Linked DNA regions of Macaca fascicularis. The protein of the gene in region 2 interacts with the protein of the main gene of each other region in a pairwise test. Links are inferred from orthologs where the notes say so. Each region holds a gene or a part of one and is shown on either strand. Other genes may lie near its edges.

Region 1 (10,667 bases), on a different chromosome or scaffold from region 2:
GCATCCATTAGCTATTCTTCCTGATGTTCTCCCTCCCCTTCAACCCCACCCCCACAGGCTCCAGTGTGTGTTATTCCCCACCATGTGTCCATGTATTCTCATCATTCAGTTCCTACATATAAGTGAGAACATGCAGTGTTTGATTTTATTTGGGGCTTCTTAAGCCACTAAAGAAATAGGCAGAGGACAGTGTTCCTATATTGGCTGAAGTGATATATTCCTATTATCAAGGAGACTTTGATTGCTGGTACATAATGGGGAGCACAAGGACTGTGCCTAAAACCCAAGGAATATACTGGACAGATTCCTCATTCTCACTCCCCAGTAACAATGGTCAATGTATTAGGAACATTAAGAACACTGATCCTTCAGGAATAAAGGGTCATCTCACCAGGAAAAACTAAGGTACCATCAGTGAGTGAAGGGAATCTGCAATGAGTGGCAGCTTTTGTCATAAAGGCAATCACCAAGGTGGCAACTGTAGCAGCTATGAATATGTTACGTTAATCTCTATATTATTGAACATTATCAAATCAACTCTGTGGTGTATGTGTTTATACCTCTATTTAATATATGAGTACACTGAAGCTTAGAAAGATGGGCACCTAGTAACTCACAGAATCATCACTGAATCCATGCCTTATTATGAGACCCTTGTTCTTCTCTACCCCTCCCAACAATGGCTTATTCAGTGCCTGCAAGAAACACGAAGGGTCTGCAGGGATGTGAAGCAGTCATTTTCTGAGTGTCGGCAAATTCAGATACAGGTCTCCTTCATTTGTTGTGGTTGTTGTGGTTGTTGTTTTATTCTGTTTCCATTCTGCTTTCTGGGATTCTTCATGTTCCTGGAATCAAATCTGAGTACAGCAGTACAATATGAACCTTAGCTGTCACCTGATAGCCTTTCAATGAGCAAAAATTCTCTTAAGAGAACTGGAAATATCAAAGCATGAAGTGTTTTTCAGTTTTCTAAATCCATAATCAATATCAAGGAAAGTTCAACTGATGTTTTTACCTTACATTATAAGAGATAAAAATAAATAAAAAGACAGGATATCTGAGTTGGAATGTGTTGAGAATTCTAGCCTCTCCAAACTTCCTCCTCTTCTCTGAAGTTCATGGCTACATCCCTACCAGCTGCCCTACAGCGTCTGCTTAAACCGACAGGGCAGTCTGTTTTCTCTAGGATATCATTAAAATGAGGGTCTTCCCTGGACCTTTAACTCTCATGCACCTATGTCTATCTGTCACCACAAGCCAGTCACTTCACTCCATTTAGCTTCAGTGTCCTCCCCTGTAACACAAGTATGATAACCTCAAAGTCACCCAATGGTTGTGTGGCTTAAACAAAATATAACCTGACATAGCAGCATTATTGACAGTAACCAAAAGGTAGAAACAACCTAAGTGTCCACAGATAAATACATAAACAAAATGTGGTATACATTTCCCCTCCTTTTGAAAAAGGTAGGAAATTCTAACACATGCTATAACATGGATGGACTTTGAGAACTTTGTGTAACTGTAATAAGTCAGTCGTAAATGAACAAATACATTATAATGCCACTTATGAGGCACCTAGAATAGTCAAATTAATAAAGAAAATAGAATGGTGGGTGCCAGGGGCTGTGGAGGAGGACAAAATGAGGAGTTGTTGTTTAATGAGTGTGGAATGTGGTTTAGGATGATAAAGTTCCGCAGGGCTGGGCACTGTGACTCATGCCTGTAATCCCAGCACTTCGGGAGGCCCAGGCGGGTGGATCACGATGTCAGGAGTTTGAGACTAGCCTGGCTAACGTGGTGAAACCCCATCTACACTAAAAGTACAAAAATTAGCCACGCATGGTGGTGGGCATCTGTAATTCCAGCTACTCAGGAGGCTGAGGCAGAATTGCTTACACCTGGGAAGTGGAGGTTTCAGTGAGCCGAGATCGCGCCACTGCACTCCAGCCTGCATGACAGAGCAAGACTCCATCTTGGGAGGAGAAAAAAAAAAGTTCTGAAGATGAAGATGGACGGTGGTGGTAGCAGCACAATAATATGAGTATACCTAAAGCTGTTGAACTGCACACCTTAAAAATGGTTGAGGTGGCTCAGAGATAAAAGGATGGTTCAGCATACACATCAAACAAGGTGATACATCATATCAACAGAATGAAGGACAAAAACCATATGTTCATTTTAACTGATGCTGAAAAAGCATTTGGTAAAATTCAACATCACCATTAAAAAAAAAAAGCTTGGCCGGGCGCGGTGGCTCACGCCTGTAATCCCAGCACTTTGGGAGGCCGAGGCGGGCGGATCACAAGGTCAGGAGATCGAGACCACGGTGAAACCCCGTCTCTACTAAAAATACAAAAAATTAGCCGGGCGCGGTGGCGGGCGCCTGTAGTCCCAGCTACTCAGGAGGCTGAGGCAGGAGAATGGCGTAAACCCAGGAGGCGGAGCTTGCAGTGGGCCGAGATCGCGCCACTGCACTCCAGCCTGGGCGACAGAGCGAGACTCCGTCTCAAAAAACAAAACAAAACAAAACAAAAAAAAAGCTTGAAAAACCGAGTGTAGAAGAAATATACCTAAACATAATAAAAGCCATATATGACAGACCCACAGCTAATATCATACTGAATGGGGAAAAACTGAAAGCCTTTCCTCTAAGATCTGGAACAAAACAAGGATGCCCACTTTCACCACTGTTATTCAACATAGTACTGGAAGTCCTAGCTACAGCCATCAAACAAGAGAAGGCAATTAAGGGCTTCCACAATAGGAAGGAAGAAGTCAAATTATCCTTGATTTCAGATAATATGATCTTATATTTGGGAAAGTCTAAAGATTGTCATTTCTAATAGTTTTTTGAGGAAACAAATTCAGAAAACTTGTAGAATACAAAATCAACATACAAAAATCAGTAGCATTTCTACATGCCAGGAGCGAATAATCTGAAAAGAAAATAAAAGTAATCTCATTTACAATAGCTACAAGTAAAATTAAATACCTAGGAATAAACTTAACCAAAAAAGTGAAACATCTCTATAATGAAAGCTAGAAAAACATTAATGCAAGATGTTGAAGAGGACTCAAAGAGTTTTAAAAAAAAAATTCCACGTTCATGGATTAGAAGAATCACTATTGTTAAACTGTCCATAATACCGAAAGTAATCTACAGATTCAATGCAATCCCTATCAAAATATCAATGACATTCCTCACAGAAATAGAAAAAAAAATTCTAAAACTTATATGGAATTACAAAAGACCTAGAATAGTCAAAGCTATCCTGAGCAAAAAGAACAAAACTAGAGGAATCACATTATCTGACTTCAAATTATACTATAGAGCTATAGTAAACAAAACATCACCGTAATGCCATTTAAAAAGACACATAGACCAATAGAAAAGAATAGAGAACCCAGAAACGAATCCACACATCTACAGTGAACTCACTTTCAACAAAGGTGCCAAGAACATACAATGAGGAAAGGACAGTCTCTTCAATAAATGCTGCTGGGAAAACTAGATATCCACATGCAGAAGAATGAAACTACAACCCTGTCTCTTACTATATATAAAACTCAAATCAAAATGGATTAAAGACTTAAATCTAAGGCCTCAAACTATTAAACTACTACAAGAAAACACTGGGGAAACTCTCCAGGACATTGGACTGGGCAAAGATTTCTTTCAAATATCGCATAAGCACAGGCAACCAAAGCAAAACTGGACAAATGAGATCACATCAAGTTAAAAAGCTTCTACACAGCAAAGGAAACAATGAAGTGGAGTGACAACCCACAGAATTGGAGTAAATATTTGCAAACTATCCATCTGACAAGAGATTAATAATCATAATATATAAGGAACTCAACTCTATAGGAAAAAAATACAATAATCTGATTCAAAAATGGACAAAAGATCTGAACAGACATTTCTCACAAGAAGACATACAAGTGGCAAATGGGTATGTGAAAATGTGCTCAACACCACTGATCATCAGAGAAACGCAAATCAAAACTACAATGAGATATTATTTCACCTCAGTTAAAATGACTTTTATCCAAAAGAAGGGCAATAACAAACGCTGGCAAGGATATGTAGAAAAGGGAACCCTCATACACTGTAAATGGGAATGGAAATTAGTACAATCACTAAAGCGAACAGTTTGAAGGTTCCTCAAAAAACAATTAAAAATAGAGCTACCATATGATCTAGCAACCCTATTGGATACTGCTAGATATATACCCAGAAGAAATACTGTTAGATATATACCCAAGAGAAAGGAAATCAGTATATCAAAGAGATATCTGCACTCCCATGTTTACTGCAGCACTATTCACAGTAGCCAAGATTTGGAAGCAATATAAGTGTCCATCAACAGATAAATGGATAAGGAAAGTATGGTACACATACACAATGGAGTACTCTTCAGCCATAAAAAGAAGAAATTTTCATTTGCTACAAGATGGATGGAATTGGGGATTATTATGTTAGGTAAAATAAACCAAGCACAGGCAAACAAACAAACAGTTATGTTCTCACTTGTTTGTGGAAGCTAAAAATTAAAACAATTGAATTCATTAAGATAGAGAGGATGATGGTTACCAAAGTCTGGGAAGGGTAGTGGGGCAAGGGTGCAGGGGATGATTAATGGGTTCAAAAATACATGACATAGAATGAATAAGATCTAGTGTTTTATAGCATAACAAGATGAATAGAGTCAATAATTTATCATTTTAAAATAACTAAAAGCATGTAATTGGATTGTATATAACACAAATGATAAATGCTTGAGGTGATGGACAGATACCCCACTTACCCTGATGTGATTATTACGGATTGTATGCTCTACCTGCATCAAAATATCTCATGTACCCCATAAATATATACACCTACTATAGACACACAAAATTGAAAATTAAAAAATTACTTTGGTAAATTTTATATTCTGTATGTTTTACGATTAAAAATAAAAATAATATAACCTGAGAATGTCCCTAGCTCAGTGACAAGAACACAGTTGATTGTCAAATGTCAATTCCCTTCTCACCACTCACTGGTGGGACACTTACCTTGGGGTCATGTGAAATAAATCACTCACCTGCAAGTGTTAAAAAAATATTAGTCACATCAGTCACATGAAAATAATTAGCTTCTGGAAGTAAGCAGATGGTGGCACGCGAGGAAGAGCACCGGCCACTCCTCTGCATCAGAAACTTCCTTAAAAGCAGCTTCCAGACATGCACATAGCATCTAGGTGTGGGGTGATGACCAGTGTCAAAGAAAGTAGCCCGGACTCCCCCGTCATGTAGATATTTTACCAAACCGGATAATGAAGACATGGGAGGGAGCGCGCACCCAGGACCACGGGCTACTGAGTTTCCACTCCTTACCAGTCTCAGAGAAGCCCCCTGGGCGTCCAGAGCCTCTGAAGCCTCCCCCAGTCCAACTCTGACTTCTCTCCTCTCACCTCTCTACCTTCTCTCCTCCCACCTCTCTTGCTTCTCATCAGCATTTCTCCACACAAGGCTTTCAAGGCTCTGCTCCTCCCACTGCTCCTCCCTCACTCCTCCCACTCTCCTCCTCCTCCCTCCCCTTTCCTCTCAGACTTGCCTCTGAGCGGAAACTGAAAGTGAAATAGGGAGCTGGCTACCAGCGTTGAGTCCCCTGTAAAGGTGAGTGAACCCCACTAGATCAAGGGACCCCTGCCCTCCTAGGGGACCTCTCTCCCCTGCCCCAGGGTTGCCCAGCCCCTTCAATCAGTCTCCATCCTTGAGCCGGTCCCATTTGCCCCTTCTCGCACCAGGGATCCCTCAACCCAAGACCAGCTGTGCTTCCGGCGCTGGCCCCCTACCTGGGAGGAGGCTGGGGTGTGGACATGACTGCCGAGTTACCCAGAAGGGGAAGGGACCCGGCTGCCCCCTTCCTGGGAGGAGGCTGGGTTGTGGACGTGACTGCCGAGTTACCCAGAAGGGGAAGGGGCCCGGCTGCCCCGATGCTGGCACGTGACCTGGGATGAAGGCTGGGTGCGGCTGGGAGAGCCAGGACTACAGCCTAGCCAGGACGGGTAGGGAGCTCATGTCGGGGAGGTCTGCAATTCTGGAGATTCCCAGGTCCAAAAGTCCTCCAGAGGTGAGAGGGGAAGGCTGTTTAGGATGTTCAACCAGAAATGTATTCAAAATTATTCTTTGCCCTAGAATAAGTGTTGTCAGGAACTAAACTAAGTTTGGAGCAGCTGAGAAAAGAGCCCAGGGAGTGCTGGCCACAGTTCCTGTTGCTCTGTGTGTATACATACATATACACATGCTTGTGTATATACGTATACACCTACATACCTATATACACCTGACATCTGCCGTTATAGGAAGTATTAATGAAGATATATTCAAAGCATGAAGTATGTCTGGCACATGGAAGGTACATGGTAAAAAGTAGCTATAATTTCTCAGCAGCATGGAGGCCTGTTGGTACCAGACAGGAGATGAATGAGCACTGAGGGTTTAAGCAGGAATGGACATGATGAGAGTAGAACTGTCAACAGCTTTATGAGGTTCTTGCCAATTTTCACTCCCTCTTTTAGGGACTTAGTGTCTCCTTCTGTCTCACTGGATCAATGGACCAACAATGGAGGAGTTCTTGTTATTCAGAACAAGAATAAACTTACTCAACAAACTATTTGATCGGTGTAAAAGTAATTACTGTTTTTGACATTAATTGTTTTGCCATTAATTTTATGCCTTTTATTTATTTATTTATTTATTTATTGAGAGGAAGTCTCACTCTGTTGCCCAGGCTGGAGTGCAATGGCAGAATCTCGGCTCACTGTAACCTCTGCCTCCCAGGTTTAAGCAATTCTGCTGCCTCAGCCTCCTGAGTAGCTGGGATTACAAGCGCCCACCACCACTCCCAGCTAATTTTTGTATCTTTCGTAGAGACGGAGTTTTACCATATTGGTCAGGCTGGTCTTGAACTGAACTCCTGACCTAAGGTGATCCACCCACCTCAGCCTCCCAAAGTGCTGGGGTTGCAGGTATGAGCCGCCGTGCCTGACTCATTATTTTTATTTTTCTTTTTTATTTTCCTTTGTGTCATTTTGTTTTTCTTCTTTTTTTAGTTTATTTTTAACTTTTGTGGGCACATAGTAGGTATATTTATGGGGTATATGGAATATTTTGATACAGGTATACTATGTGTCATAATCACATCCGGGTAAATAGGGCATCCATCACCTCAAGCATTGATCATCTGTGATACAAACTATGCAATTATACTCTTAGTTTTCAGTGTACAATTAAATTATTGACTATAGTCACTCTATCGTGCTATCAAATACTAGATCTAATTCACTCCACTTTTGTACTCATTAACCATCCCACCTTCCCCAACACACACACACCCTCCCTGCTACTCTTCCCAGCCTCTGGTAACCATCTTTCTATTTTATCTAACTCCATGAGTTCAATTGTTTTAATTTTTAGCTTCTACAAATGAGTGAGAACATACAATGTTTGTCTTTTGGTGCCTAGCTTATTTCACTTAACATAATGACCTCCAGTTCCATTCATGTTGTTGTGAATGACAGGATCTCATTATATTTTATGACTGAATAGTACTCCATTGTGCATATGTACCACATTTTCTTTATCCATTTATCTGTTGATGGACACTTAGATTGCTTCCAAATCTTGGCTATTGTGAAACATGCTGCCGTAAACGTGGGAATGTAGATATCTCTTTGATATACTGATTTCCTTTCTTTGGGGTATATACTAGCAGTGGGATTGCTGGATCATATGGTAGCCCTATTTTCAGTTTTTTGAAGAACCTCCAAACTGTTCCCTGTAGTGATTGTACTAATTTACCTTCCTACCAATAGCGCGTGAGTGTACCCTTTTCTCCACACCCTCCCCAGCATTTGTTATAGCCTGTCTTTTGGATAAAAGGCATTTTAACTGAGATGAGATTATATCTCATTGTAGTTTTGATTTGCATTTTTCCGATAATGATGTTGAACAACTGTTCATATGCCTGTTTGTCATTTGTGTGTCTTCTTTTGAGAAATGTCTATTCAGATCTTTTGTCCATTTTTGAATCAGATTATTATTTTTTTTCCTATAGAGTGGTTTGAGTTCCTTATATATTCTGGTTATTCACCTTTTGTCAGATGGATAGTTTGCAAATTTTTACTCCAATTCTGTGGGTTGTCTCTTCACTTTGTGGATTGTTTCCTTTGCTGTGCAGCGCCTTTTCAACATGATGTGATCCCATTTGTCCAAGTTTGCTTTGGCTGCCTGTGCTTGTGGGGTATTTGAAAGAAATCTTTGCCCAGTCCAATGTCCTGGAGAGTTTTCCCAATGTTTTCTTGTAATAGTTTAATAGTTTGAGCCCTTAGATTTAAGTCTTTAATCCATTTTGATTTGATTTCTGTATATGGTGAGATATAGGGGTGTAGTTTCATTCTTCTGCACGTGGATATCCAGTTTTCCCAGCAGCATTTTTTGAAGAGACTGTCCTTTCCTCATTGTATGTTCTTGGTACCTTTGTTGAAAATGAGCTCACTGTGGATGTACGGATTTGTTCTGGGTTCTTTATTCTACTGGTCTATGTGTCTGTTTTTATGCCAGTACCATGCTGTTTGGGTTACTTTAGCTCTACAGTATAATTTGACATCAGATGATGTGATTCCTCCAGTTTTGTTCTTTTTGCTCAGGATAGCTTTGGCTATTCTGAGTCTTTTGTAATTCCATATAAATTTTAGGATTTTTTTTCCTATTTTTGTGAAGAATGTCATTGGTATTTTGATAGGGATTATGTTGACTTTTTGTTTTTCTTACACAGACTTTCTCATATTTTCTTTTCCCTTTCTTTTTCCTCCCAGCCAGCCCTACTAAAGGGCTTAACAGTACGCTTGACAATGGCTTCAGCAGCACGCTTGACAATGATGTGGGAGGAGGTCACGTGCCCTATCTGCCTGGACCCCTTCGTGGAGCCTGTGAGCATCGAGTGTGGCCACAGCTTCTGCCAGGAATGCATCTCTCAGGTTGGGAAAGATGGGGGCAGCGTCTGTCCTGTGTGCCGGCAGCACTTTCTGCTCAGGAATCTCCGCCCCAATCGACAACTAGCCAACATGGTGGACAACCTTAGAGAAATCAGCCAGGAAGCCAGAGAGGGTGCACAGGAGGAACAGTGTGCAGTGCATGGAGAGAGACTTCACCTGTTCTGTGAGAAAGATGGGAAGGCCCTTTGCTGGGTGTGTGCCCAATCTCGGAAACACCGTGACCACACCATGGTCCCTCTTGAGGAGGCTGCACAGGAGTACCAGGTGAGGCCTTAGAGACACAAACAGGAGGAAAGAAGATGGGCCCTGGTGAGTGCTTTGCTTTCAGAGCAGGGAATGGGAGAGGACCACCTCTGGATTGGAGGGGTTAGAGAAAGGAGGAGTTTACCTCTCTCCATGTCTAATGTAGAAGGAGAATTATAAGCTAAACCCAACCTCATTCTCCAGGCGTAGGCGATATGCATGAGAAAATGCTGCAAGGATTACCCCACCCTATTACTTGGTTTGCATGGGGACTAATATGCTGTCTTTCTCTGCAGGAGAAGCTCCAGGTGGCATTAGGGGAACTGAGAAGAAAGCAGGAGTTGGCTGAGAAGTTGGAAGTGGAAATTGCAATGAAGAGAGCAGACTGGAAGGCAAGAATGACATCCTGAAGGGGATCTTAGGCTAGAAGGTTGGGCAGGGTCCAGGGTCCTCAACTCACAGCCTTAACTGTAGCTGTGCCTGTCTGAGCTGTGATAGAGTTGGTCCGTCTCACTCTCCAGAAAGCACCTGCTCTCTAGGTTTACAGATAGATGGGAATAAAAATGATGCAGGTTCAAAGGGGAGCTCCCCATCAGGCCTGAAGATCAAGAATCCTGGAAGAAGGTGCTGAGAGGATCTAGCTATACCCTAAAGTTTTGAGCTCCTCTGAGTCTAGTCTCAGAGGTGTGACGGCATCAGCACCTGGATGTCTGAGACAAATATCCTAGGAGAAACCCAACTGCTAGCTAAGCCTTTCAGGAAATGACAAGGCTGTGAGAAATAGACTTAAGGAAACCATCTGACCAGGTGGTTACTTGACCATGACCAGATCTCTGGTCCCAAATATAATGAAGAATCCATGTTTGTTCTGCACTGATCATTTCCAAGGAGACGTGGAGCATGTTGGGGATGAGAGGGGAGAGGAAGGAGCCCATCCCCAGTAGATCCCAGAAAAGAAACATTTGGGATTGAGGTAGGGTGTGAGTTGGGTTGTGGTGACAAAACAGACCCTCATGTCATCGAGTGACCTTCCAGTTACTAACAGGAGATGAAAAGCAAAGAATGTCCCCAAGCCCCCTTTCCCAGGACTTGGAGGTGGTGGTGTCAGCCTGGCTTTGTGAGGTTGTTGGAGGTGGGAACAGGTGTTTTTTTTCTCAGTAACTCACTGAGACAGGAAGACACAGGGGCACATTTGAGTGGTGACTGGGTTTGGAAGAGAGGTTGGAAAAAGTCCCCAATGCCGTATATCCATGTAGCTGTGGTTGTAGGCCAGCTACAATGTGCCCTCACCAAGTCCATTCCCCTCACTGTCCCGGAAACTTCACCTACCTCCCAAGCAAAATTGTGTGTGTGTGTGTGTGCACATGCTTGTGT
Region 2 (10,712 bases):
CTTTGAAAAGCATCCGTAGTTTAAACAAGCCTCCTTCCCACGGAGTCTGTGGGGAAATAAACTGTGGTGAGATGGGCGGCTTGCCCGCCTCAGGCCAGCCCAGGAGGAAGGGGCTCGCTTCTAGGACACAACTCCCACGACTGCCAGGACACCGGGGCCAGAGGCCCGACAGTGGCGGCTCCCAAACCAGCCTAAAGCCTGAACTGGCCCCACCAAGGGGACTGTCAGGACCTCTGCTGTGCCCAGAGAGTAAGTCGGAAAGGTCCTCCTAGAAAGGAGACGAGACGGGGTTCGGGGGCTGGGCCGGGGCGGCGGGTGCCACACACTGGGGCGGCAGCACCAAAAGCACAGCCTTCGCCCCAAGGGTTCTGCAAGCCCCGCCCCAGATCCTGCCTGGATGAGGCGCCTTTGCCACCCCACAATCCGACACCACTCCCGTCTTCCTCGGGGCCGCACACCTGCATCGCGGTGACGTGAAGAGCAGGGGACGTTCTCAGCAGAGCCTCAGACAAGCGACAAACCCAAGTGACACCATGTCTCAGGCAAAGCTGAGACCTGCTGGGACTACTCAGCTCAGGGGGACCGAAGCTGCTTTGAGTTTCAGAGTGAAACCCAGAGGGTGGCATGGGCCGGAGGGAATAAGGCCTCGGGCAGGACCAGCACCTCAGGGCTCTCTCCTTCCTTCAGGGTTCACCAGCATGAACCTTATGTGCACACCAGCCTGGAGTCCCCGGCCAAGTGCTTCACGGGAGCCGGGCAAAGACGACAGGCACACAGGCCGCCCTGCTCCCCACAGACACACAGGGGGCCCCAAGCAGGCATCCTAGGCTGCTGTCGCCAGTCCCTGTGCCCCAGGAGGTTCTCCAGGAGGCGGCTTTACGCCGGGGTGGCTCTCCAGCAAACCCAGCTCCCGTGACCTGAGCCACACCTGGAAGGACACAGCAGAATCCCGGGTTCCAGCCTGCAAAGGCTGCCCGCCCTCAGGCCTGCTCCCAACACACACCAGAGCCCCTCCCCTCTGCCACAGCTCAGCCCTGTGCCCAGCCTGCTTCCTTCTCAACCAGAAATGCCCTCGGTGGGGACACAGCTGTCACCCCAACCTTGCCAGCACCACCTTCTGAGCTCAAGTCCGCACGGGGCGGGGGCCAGGCCACAGCTGGGGATCTGACCTGTTGTCCGCAGCCCGTGACAAGGGCGGCCGTCACAGACGGCAGGGGCTGAGCAGTTTCCCTGTGGCGTTGCCACACGCATCTGTTGAGCCCCGACAGGCAGGAGGCTAGCAGCGCGCGCCTCTTACCCCTTTCTTTCCTGGAATGGCGCACTCCCAGTTCATGAGGTTCATCGTGCCATCGGGATTTTTTGTTGGGACAGCCACGAAACCCTGAGAGAAAACAACCACAAAAGCACATCAGTGCGGTGGCATCTCGTTTGACCAAAACCACTGAGAACCGGCCCGCGAGCCCCACCAGCGCGACCCAGGCACGCGGCCAGCTCCCTCCCAGTGGGGGGGGGCACGGTTTCAGCCCAGGGGGGCCGTCCGCGGCACTGCACACGGAAACGAAGCCCTCCTTACAAACGGGTGGTCTTTCCTCCATGCTTTCCTCTCCTGGGCGAGTCTGCTGAGGGCGATCCCCGACATGTTCAGAGTCCCTGGAACACAGGAGGCAGAGCACGGGGTCAGGACAGGCTAGCGGGCTCCTACCGCCCCGCCACGTGCACACGGCCCGCAGTGGGCAGTCTTGCTCCTAACAGGCGCCAGCCCAGCCCAGCAGAGACTCTCCTCCTGGAAGCCGTCGTCCGACCCCGGGGTCTACCAGGGGAGGCCTCATGAGTGGATCCCAGATCACCGGGGGTGGGGGGGCAGGTAGGACCCCTTCCCCATGGGCCCCCCGAGCCCTGGTCTGCGACACGTGCCGTGGCCTCTGCTCCACGGTGGAGACGGATGTTCAGAGGCTGGGCCACTGTGGCTGGGCGGTAGCTGCCACCCTGTGGTGGCTGGCGTGGCAGGGTCCTCACTGAACCGTCAGGTGGGGACTAGGCAGGGCTGGGTCCCCGCCTTACTATCAGGCGCTCAGAACTGAGACTCAAGCCGGGCCAGGGGGACACCTAATATTGTTGTTTTTTTTTTTTTTTGAGATGGAGTCTCACTCTGTCCCTCAGGCTGGAGTGCAGTGGCACTATCTCAGCTCATTGCAACCTCCGTTTCTTGAGTTCAAGCAATTCTCCTGCCTCAGCCTCCCGGGTAGCTGGGACTACAGGCCCCCGCCACCATGCCCGGCTAATTTTTGTATTTTTAGTAGAGATGGGGTTTCACCGTGTTGAAGACAGAGTGGAACAAGTACCACAGGGCAGAGGCTCAGCCTCGCTGAAAGAGGAGCCCCCCACAGGGCCACCGTTCCCGGACCCTGCAGACGCTAGCATGTCCCTGTGGCTTCAGGGGACAGACGGGTCCTGTGGGGCAGGGCAGGAGCATGGGGTACGGGACCAGGTCCCTGGTCAGAGGCAGCGGCACACACGCCAGATTCCAGCTCCACACTTCTGCACGGGACCTCAGGGGCTTGGCACCTTTGCCTTCTGGTTCCCAGCGGGAGCCTGTCGGCCCGCACTGTCCCCGGGGACACCAGGCAGACAGGGCCAGCAGCCTCGACACCAGCCTCACCTGTCACCCTACTGGTGGTCACCTTTACCATGAAAAACAGCACTCAGGGCACAAAACCTGCCAGAGAATTCAAACCCAAGTGTGTGCTGGTTTTCAAAGTCCACGGGAACACTGAAGCTGCCTCCAAGTCTGGCATCTCAGCGCCAAGCAAGGGCCACCTCAACAAAGCTGGGGGCTGCGCCAGGCCTTCCAAACTGTGGGGGGGCCGTCCCTACAAGGGCCCTGGTGACCTGGATGGCGCCCGCACCTGTGCAGGCCCACGAACCTCACACACCTCACAGCTGCAGGGAGGGGCCAGGTCAGCAGCTCCGCCTGGGCCAGAGCCGCCGCAGCCTCACCTGGCACTTGTTAGGGAGGCAAGGCCCAGTCCCCAGCAGACTCATTGAGGAAGGAGCTCCGAGAGGCCCACATTCAGGTTTTGGGCGGCGCGATGGCTTCCCGAGGCAGCAAATCAGAAATCAGGGGTGGGGCTGGGATCAAGGAAGCCCAGGCGGGTCCAGTGTCGCCAGGGAACCAGGGTGCTGGAAGCCAGGCGGGGCTGCTAGAGCCGCCTGCCCTGCAGGTGGATTTGGCTCCTTTTTAACCAAACACGGATCCTCAGGGCAGCCTGAGAAAAATCAGGCAAAGGAACCCGGGTCCTCCAGTCAGTAGGTGCTGGCATCACAGCGAGAGGGTGACAGGGGCCATCCAGGTACTGGCCTCCAGCTACACGATTAAGTCCAAGACAGGTAGCCCCAGACTGGGCCCCACCGGGATGTCCCTCCCCATACCCTCCTCACAGGGATGCGGAGGAGCCCGCAGGCCGCCTGCCCTCTGGACCACTTGCCCATCCCCATGCCCTTCTCTAAGTGGGGGTGGGGGGAAGCCAGGGGCCAGAAAGGGAGAAAGTGGGGGACACAGCTGGGCTCAGCTGTGGGCAGGCAGGGTTCGAGCCCAGAGTGGAGTGGAGCTCCCGCCAACCACGGTTTCAAGGCTCTCTCTGCACGTGTCTCCACCCTCCACTTCCACATGGAGCAGCTCAGTTGTGGCTTGAGGACTCACAGCTCTCGCTTCCCCAGCCCCAGGGTGGGCTTCATGAGTAGCCACAGCCTGTGCCTGGTGCGGTGCAAAGCAGCCTGGTGAACGGCCGTTTTGAGGAGCCACGACCTCCCAGGTGCCCGGGGTCTGAGCGGGGCCAGGAATCAAGCAGGTCTCTGAAGCCCCAGGCCAGTGCTCCAGACACTGAAGGACCATGGCCAACACGATCCTCACAGCCAGGCAAGGCCAGGCCCCAGAGAGGCCAGCCCCAGAGAGGCCAGCCAGGCCTGGGACCCTGCCACAGGTAGCCCTCCTACTGAAGACCGGACAGAGCCACCTAGAGGCCCCCGTCCCAGCACCTAGCTATTGCTGTCTCAGATGTGAGAAGTCGTGAGGGTGCTCCTGTGAGACCTCCCGCCAAGGTCTGGCTGATGCTGCTGTATCCCCTGCCCCAAAGCACTCAGCACCACGGGGTGGTCTCACAGGAAACTGCACCACAGGGCAAGGAGCCACAGGTGCACACCCACCCTGTCCTAGGCAGAAGCCAGGCCCCTCCCCCTGCTCCCCCTCCTACTGGCCTCCTGGAGAAAGTGGCCAATGTGTTACAATGTAATCACAACACAGACGAAGCATTCAAAATCCCGCTGAAAATCGAATTTGCCCTTCCAAATTAACAGATAAGCACTAAGTGAATGGCTAGCAGTTACTAGACCCTTCAGAGCAGGGAACTTATATGAGGCAAAGACAAAAACAACCCTCATCTATCAGAGCCAAGCAAGGCCCAGACACTGCAGCAACCAGGACAGGGCCAAGCACTCCAGGAGTGGCCTGAAGGTCTGCCTTCTGTCCTGCTGGGCACCCGCGACCGGCTGAGCTTTAGCTTCTCGGATCACCACCTTGCTCTGCTGGTTGACAGCACCGACTTCCGAGCAACTTCCTGGCTGAAGGTGAGCAAAGCACTCACCTCTCACAACTCCACCGCACTCATCTCCACAACGGGTGGTCGCCACGACGGCTGGCACAAGAAGCCTGTAAAGGTCCTCCTGCACCCAAACGCAAACTCTCCCAGGCTTGGGGAGGTATTCCCTTCTGCAAGACCCAGGCACCTGCAGTCAGGAGACGCTCACCTGGCCGCACCTGATCTGCCCCAGGCCCCCAGAATGTTTCTGAAGCAAGATCCCAAACCCTGACACATCACACAAGCGCACACCTTCAACCACCCAGTGGTCTAGGGAAGGGACCTCTGAAGGAGCAATCAGGACAAACTCAGGTCCCGTCCTGTCTTCCGCTGCGCAGCTTCTCTACCCAAACGCAATGTTTCTTGTTCTTCAAAAAACATTCGGCGTAGGTCCTATAAAAGGAAACAAACCGAACTCCCCAAAGACAGGCACTTTGCAAACAGAGAAACAAAGCGTAACTTCCAATTATAAAAACGAAACCACTTCATTCTGCGATTCAAGCGTGACTACAGGCCACGATCACAAGCCCAGCTAATCACTCCCTTACCTTCCTCCCACGCACGTTAACTACCAGAGCCAACCACTATTCAACCGGTAAAAACCCATCCCCAAAACAATAAAACTCCCTCCAGCGAGGCGCTCACGTTCAGGGCCCCAGCAAGCGCCAGGGCAGCATCTTCAGAGGCGCAGGAAAACTTAAGACTTGTTTTGGTTTCAAGGCACCGAAAACAAGCCCGCTCGCCGGCCCCCACCCCCGCGAGCCAGCGGTGTTGCAATCCAAGAGTCTCCCCCGCGACCCATCCCCTCCGTCCGCGGGGCGACAGTGACCCCGGAAGCCGCTCCCCGCGCAGAAGGAAGGCGCGGCCTCGCGGGGCCCCGGCTGCAGGTGGCTGCCCCGGCCCCGCGCCAGGAGCACCTCGGGGGCGAAGTGGGGGAGCCCCGGCCCCCAAGGCCTGCGGCGGCCGGGGCGCTCGGGCCGCAGCCCCGCGGCGCCAGCAGCGCGGACCGAACCGGCGCCGAGCGTGGGGCCTCTCGGGCTCCCCGGGAAGCTCGGCCGCGGCGCGGGGCCCGGCTCGGCGGGGCGGGGCGCGGGGCAGCCGGGGGCCCGGGCCCGACAGGAGTAGAGGCCTCGGCCCGACCCCCGCCCCGCGGCCCCGGCCCGGCCCCCGCCCGCGCTCACCTCGGGCGGCCGCGGCCCCGGCGAGCGTCGCGGACAGGTGGAAGACCGAGCGGGGCGGCGGCGGCGGCGCTTCCCTTTGTCTCGGGACTTCCCTCCGGAGCCCGCTCCGCGCGCAGCCCGAGCAGCTCCGAGGACCCTGGCGCGGGCGGGGCGCGCGGGGCGGGGCCTGGTGCAGGGCTGCCCTCTGCACGCCTGCCTCGCGCGCTGCCACCGCCGCCCGGCCCCGAGCACCGCCCGCGCCGCCGCGCGCCCCCCGCTGCCCGTGCCCCGCCGCCGCGCGCCCGCGCCCCGGGTCCGCCCCAGGAGCCCGGCCGGGGGGGTGACTTTTCAGTCAGGCGGCGCCCTGGACACCTACGCCCTTAAAGGAGCCGCGTCCCCGATGTGAGGGAGCGTCTGTAAACTCCCCTTCGGGGTGCCCGCGTCCACCCGAGGACACGCCGGCGAGCAGCGGGGGATAAAGGAGGCCGAGATCTCCAAAAGCTCCCCGGATGCCCGGCGGTCACCTCTCCAGGCACAGGTCTCCGAGGTTTCCTTGGGGTCAGAGCCTGGGGCCGGGGGGCAAAGACCACTGAGGCCTAAGGATTCCCAGAAGCGTCGCAGGACGGTGACGCTCCCGCGAGTTCAGCGCCCTGTGAAACCTCTTGCAATTGGCCATTTCTGGGCGGTGGGCGGAGAGACCTTCTCATCTGCCCAATGAGCCGACCCCGTACAAAAGGCCGAAAGCGAGCATGACCGACGGGAGGAGAAGTGTGGATGCTCCCTAATCCGGGGGCGGGCCCTGGGCGGGGGCGGGGCGTGGGGAGACTACGAGCGGCGGGGGCGGGGCGAGCCCTTGGGGGAGGGGCGCTTCCGGGCAACAGCCCCCCACCCCCCGCCCACGCAACTCCCGAGACCGGTCGAGAGGCCCCCAGCCCCGCGAGCGCGCGGGATACTCCGTTCGCCAACGCGCGGTCGTGCTGGCCCCGGGGCTCTCCCGGTCCCCCCGCCCCCCATTTCGCCGACGGCGGGGCCGCCGCCAAGGTCACGGTGTCCGGGTGCTTGGGGACCGCGGGGACTGACCACATTCATTCATTCCCTCCCTCATTCATTCATTCCCTCCCCCACTCACTCATTCCCTCTCTCCCTCATTCCCTGCCTGACTCATTCATTCAATCCCTCCATCACTCAATCATTCCTTCCCTCCCTCACTCATTCCCACCCTCATTCATTCCCGCCCTCATTCATTCCCGCCCTCATTCCCTTTCGCACTCATTCCCTCCCTTACTGCTTCATTCATTCCTTCTCTCCCTCACTCATTCCCTCCTTCATTAATTCCCACCCTCCCTCATTCCCTCCATCATTCATTCCTTCCCTCCCTCACTCATTTCCTCCCTCATTCATTTGTTCCTTCTCTCCCTTACTCATTCCCTCCCTCACTCATTCATTCCTCCCTCCCTCATTCCCTCCCTCACTCATTCATTCCCTCCCTCACTCATTCCCTCCCTCACTCATTTCCTCCCTCGTTCATTCGTTCCTTCTCTCCCTTACTCATTCCCTCCCTCACTCATTCATTCCCTCCCTCCCTCATTCCCTCCCTCACTCATTCATTCCCTCCCTCACTCATTCATTCCCTCCCTCACTCATTCCCTCCCTCCCTCACTCATTCCCTCCCTCCTTCACTCATTCCCTCCCTCCTTCACTCATTCCCTCCCTCCCTCCCTCATTCCCTCCCTCCCTCATTCCCTCCCTCACTCATTCATTCCCTTCCTCACTCATTCCCTCCCTCACTCATTTCCTCCCTCCTTCACTCATTCCCTCCCTCACTCACTCATTCCCTCCCTCCTTCACTCATTCCCTCCCTCACTCATTTCCTCCCTCACTCATTCCTTCCCTCATTCATTCATTCCTTCCCTCCCTCACTCATTCCCTCCCTCCCTCATTCATTCCCTCCCTCACTCATTCCCTCCCTCACTCATTTCCTCCCTCCTTCACTCATTCACTCTCTCCCTCACTCATTCCCTCCCTCCCTCATTCCTCCCTCCCTCACTCATTCCGTCACTCATTCCCTCCCTCACTCGTTCCTTCCCTCATTCATTCATTCCTTCCCTCCCTCACTCATTCCCTCCCTCATTCATTCCCTCCCTCACTCACTCATTCCCTCCCTCACTTATTCATTCCTTCCCTCGCTCATTCATTCCCTCCCTCCCTCATTCCCTCCCTCCCTCATTCATTCCCTCGCTCACTCATTTATTCATTCCTTCCCTCCCTCACTCATTCCCGCCCTCACTCATTCCTTCCCTCACTCACTCATTCCCTCACTCATTCATTCCTTCCCTCCGTCACTCATTTCCTCCCTCATTCATTCATTCTTTCCTTCTCTCACTCATTCCCTCCCTCCCTCATTCATTCCCTCCCTCACTCATTCCCTCCCTCACTCATTCATTCCCTCCCTCACTCATTCCCTCCCTCCCTCATTCATTTCCTCCCTCACTTATTCATTCCGTCTCTCACTCATTCATTAATTCCCTCCCTCACTCATTCCCTCTCTCACTCATTCACTCCCTCCCTCCCTCACTTATTCCCCCCACCGCCTCCCACAGGGTCCCCAGCAGGCACTCCCCCGGCAGGGACCCGCAGCAGGAGGGGCGGCCACGCACCCTGGGTCCGCCTGCCCAGGAGGCGTAGCCGCAGGGGTGGGGGTCCAGGGCAGCAGGGGCGGCCTCCCCCAGACTCCAGGCCCTGGGACCTGCACACAGCCCTGTCCCACCAAGACCAGCACGGGCCTGGCCTGGCTGCGCATCCCAGGCTCAGAGCCACCGTGGCCTGTCTGGACACCTGTTCTCCCGGCCCCCAGCCTTGAGGTCCTGGGAATCTGCTTTTTTTTTTTTTTTTTTTTTGTGAGATGGAGTCTCACTGTGTCGCCCAGGCTGGAGTGCAGTGGCACCATCTTGGCTCACTGCAACCTCCACCTCCCGGGTTCAAGCGATCCTCCTTCCTCAGCCTCCCGAGTAGATGGGATTACAGGCGTGCAGCAGCACACCTGGCTCATTTTTGTATTATTATTAGAGATGGGGTTTCACCATGTTGGCCAGGTTGGTCTCAAAACTCCTGACCTGAAGAAGTGATCCTCCCGCCTCAGCCTCCCAAAGTGCTGGGATCATAGGCATGAACCACCGTGCCTGGTTGAAATCTGCATTCTTTTTTTTTTTTTTTTTGAGACGGAGTCTTGCTCTGTCACCCAGGCTGGAGTGCGGTGGCGAGATCTCGGCTCACTGCAAGCTCCGCCTCCCGGGTTCACGCCATTCTCCTGCCTCAGCCTCCTGAGTAGCTGGGACTACAGGCACCTGCCACCTCGCCCGGCTAGTTTTTTTCTATTTTTTTTTTTTTTAGTAGAGACGGGGTTTCACTGTGTTAGCCAGGATGGTCTCGATCTCCTGACCTCCTGATCCGCCCGCCTCGGCCTCCCAAAGTGCTGGGATTACAGGCTTGAGCCACGGCGCCCTGCCGAAATCTGCATTCTTAACCAGCACCCTGGGCAAGCCTGGCGGAGGGATATGGCCCTTTGGCTTCCTGGCATGGGCTAAGTTTCCAACGCCATCTTTCTGGCGAAGATGCCGGCACAGGGCTGTGTGGGGAGCTGTCAGTCAGTAAAGACCATGGTCGAAGGAAAGCAAGGAGAGCCATGGGCCTGGGCGGATCCCGCTCCAGCCTCAGGCACAGAGAGGGCAGGGCTGGCGACGTGGGGGGTTTGTCATAAGTGGGGCTTGAGGAGACTGACTGGATGTGGTGTGTGGCTGGGGAGGGCCTGGGCCTGAACCTGTGGGCCATGGGAGCCATAGAAGGTTATGGAACAGGAGAAGCAAGATAAGGCCCTGGTTCCCTGTATGTGGTGGTGAGGGATTGAGGAGACATGGCTCAGGTGCTCAGAGAATTCTCGTCCTGGTGGGAAGTAGTGCCGGGAGGGGCTGGGGTTTGGGGAGGCTGTGGCAGGTGGGGGCGAGGGGCATGGAGCAGGCGGGGGTGAGGGGCATGGAGCAGGCGGGGGAGGGGGACATGGAGCAGGCGGGGGCGAGGTGCATGGAGCAGGCGGGGGAGGGGGACATGGAGCAGGCGGGGGCGGGGGACATGGAGCAGGCGGGGGCGGGGGGCATGGAGCAGGCGGGGGCGAGGGGCATGGAGCAGGCGGGGGCGGGGGGCATGGAGCGGCGGGGGCGGGGGGCATGGAGCGGGGGGGGGGCGGGGGGCATGGAGCGGGGCGGGGGCGGGGGGCATGGAGCGGGGCGGGGGCGGGGGGCATGGAGCGGGGCGGGGGTGGGGGGCATGGAGCAGGCGGGGGCGGGGGGCATGGGGGGGGTGAGGGGCATGGAGCAGGAGGGGAGGGAAGAGGCTCCCTCAGTTGTGCATCCTCAGCCCAGAAGTGTTCTTTGAGCAGCCTGCACTTGGCACACGTGTTTTCAAAGAGAGGGGACCTGTTGGGTCCAGCTTCCTGGGTACAAAAGAGAAACCGAGGCTTGGAGAGCGTGGGGGGTTTGAATCAGTAACTATACGATCCTGGGCAAAGCTTGTGGCTGACTGTGCCAGGCACGCGCCCACCTTTGCCGCGGTCCCCTTGGGAGGGGAGCAGGAAGTGTGATGAGGACCCCCAGTGTCCTGGGTGCCCCCTCTGGGGCCTGCTGGGGCCAGGCTCTGCACGCAGGGGTTTGAGAGCAGAGGCCACTCCCCCAGAGGAAGAGGGGCCTCTGCAGTAGAGTGAAGGTGGACCCTTACCCCGGAGCAAGCACAAAAACCAGCTCAGAAGTCAGCCTCGGACCAGGCGCGGTGGCTCACGCCTGTAATCTCAGGTCTTCAGGAGGCTAAGGCGGGCGGATCGCTTGAGCTCAGGAGTTTGAGACAAGCCTGGCCAACATGGGGAAACCCC

What was found.
Region 1: the proteins of UBE2I (region 2) and TRIM21 interact in a two-hybrid assay, tested with the Homo sapiens proteins (2 studies listed by BioGRID). The two-hybrid records come from large-scale screens. The link is inferred for Macaca fascicularis from reciprocal best matches to the Homo sapiens genes UBE2I and TRIM21.

Annotation. Positions count from the first base shown.
Region 1 is NC_088388.1:69,998,317-70,008,983, forward strand, and holds the start of TRIM21 (E3 ubiquitin-protein ligase TRIM21), read left to right. Parts: upstream 1-5,620; 5' UTR 5,621-5,667; intron 5,668-8,870; exon of another isoform or gene 8,871-8,874; 5' UTR 8,875-8,906; coding exon 8,907-9,314; intron 9,315-9,589; coding exon 9,590-9,685; intron 9,686-10,667. UniProt on the Homo sapiens protein: E3 ubiquitin-protein ligase whose activity is dependent on E2 enzymes, UBE2D1, UBE2D2, UBE2E1 and UBE2E2.
Region 2 is NC_088394.1:2,051,599-2,062,310, reverse strand, and holds the start of UBE2I (SUMO-conjugating enzyme UBC9), read right to left. Parts: upstream 6,445-10,712; 5' UTR 6,171-6,444; intron 5,954-6,170; exon of another isoform or gene 5,816-5,953; intron 1,651-5,815; 5' UTR 1,640-1,650; coding exon 1,574-1,639; intron 1,382-1,573; coding exon 1,298-1,381; intron 47-1,297; coding exon 1-46. UniProt on the Homo sapiens protein: Accepts the ubiquitin-like proteins SUMO1, SUMO2, SUMO3, SUMO4 and SUMO1P1/SUMO5 from the UBLE1A-UBLE1B E1 complex and catalyzes their covalent attachment to other proteins with the help of an E3 ligase such as RANBP2, CBX4 and ZNF451.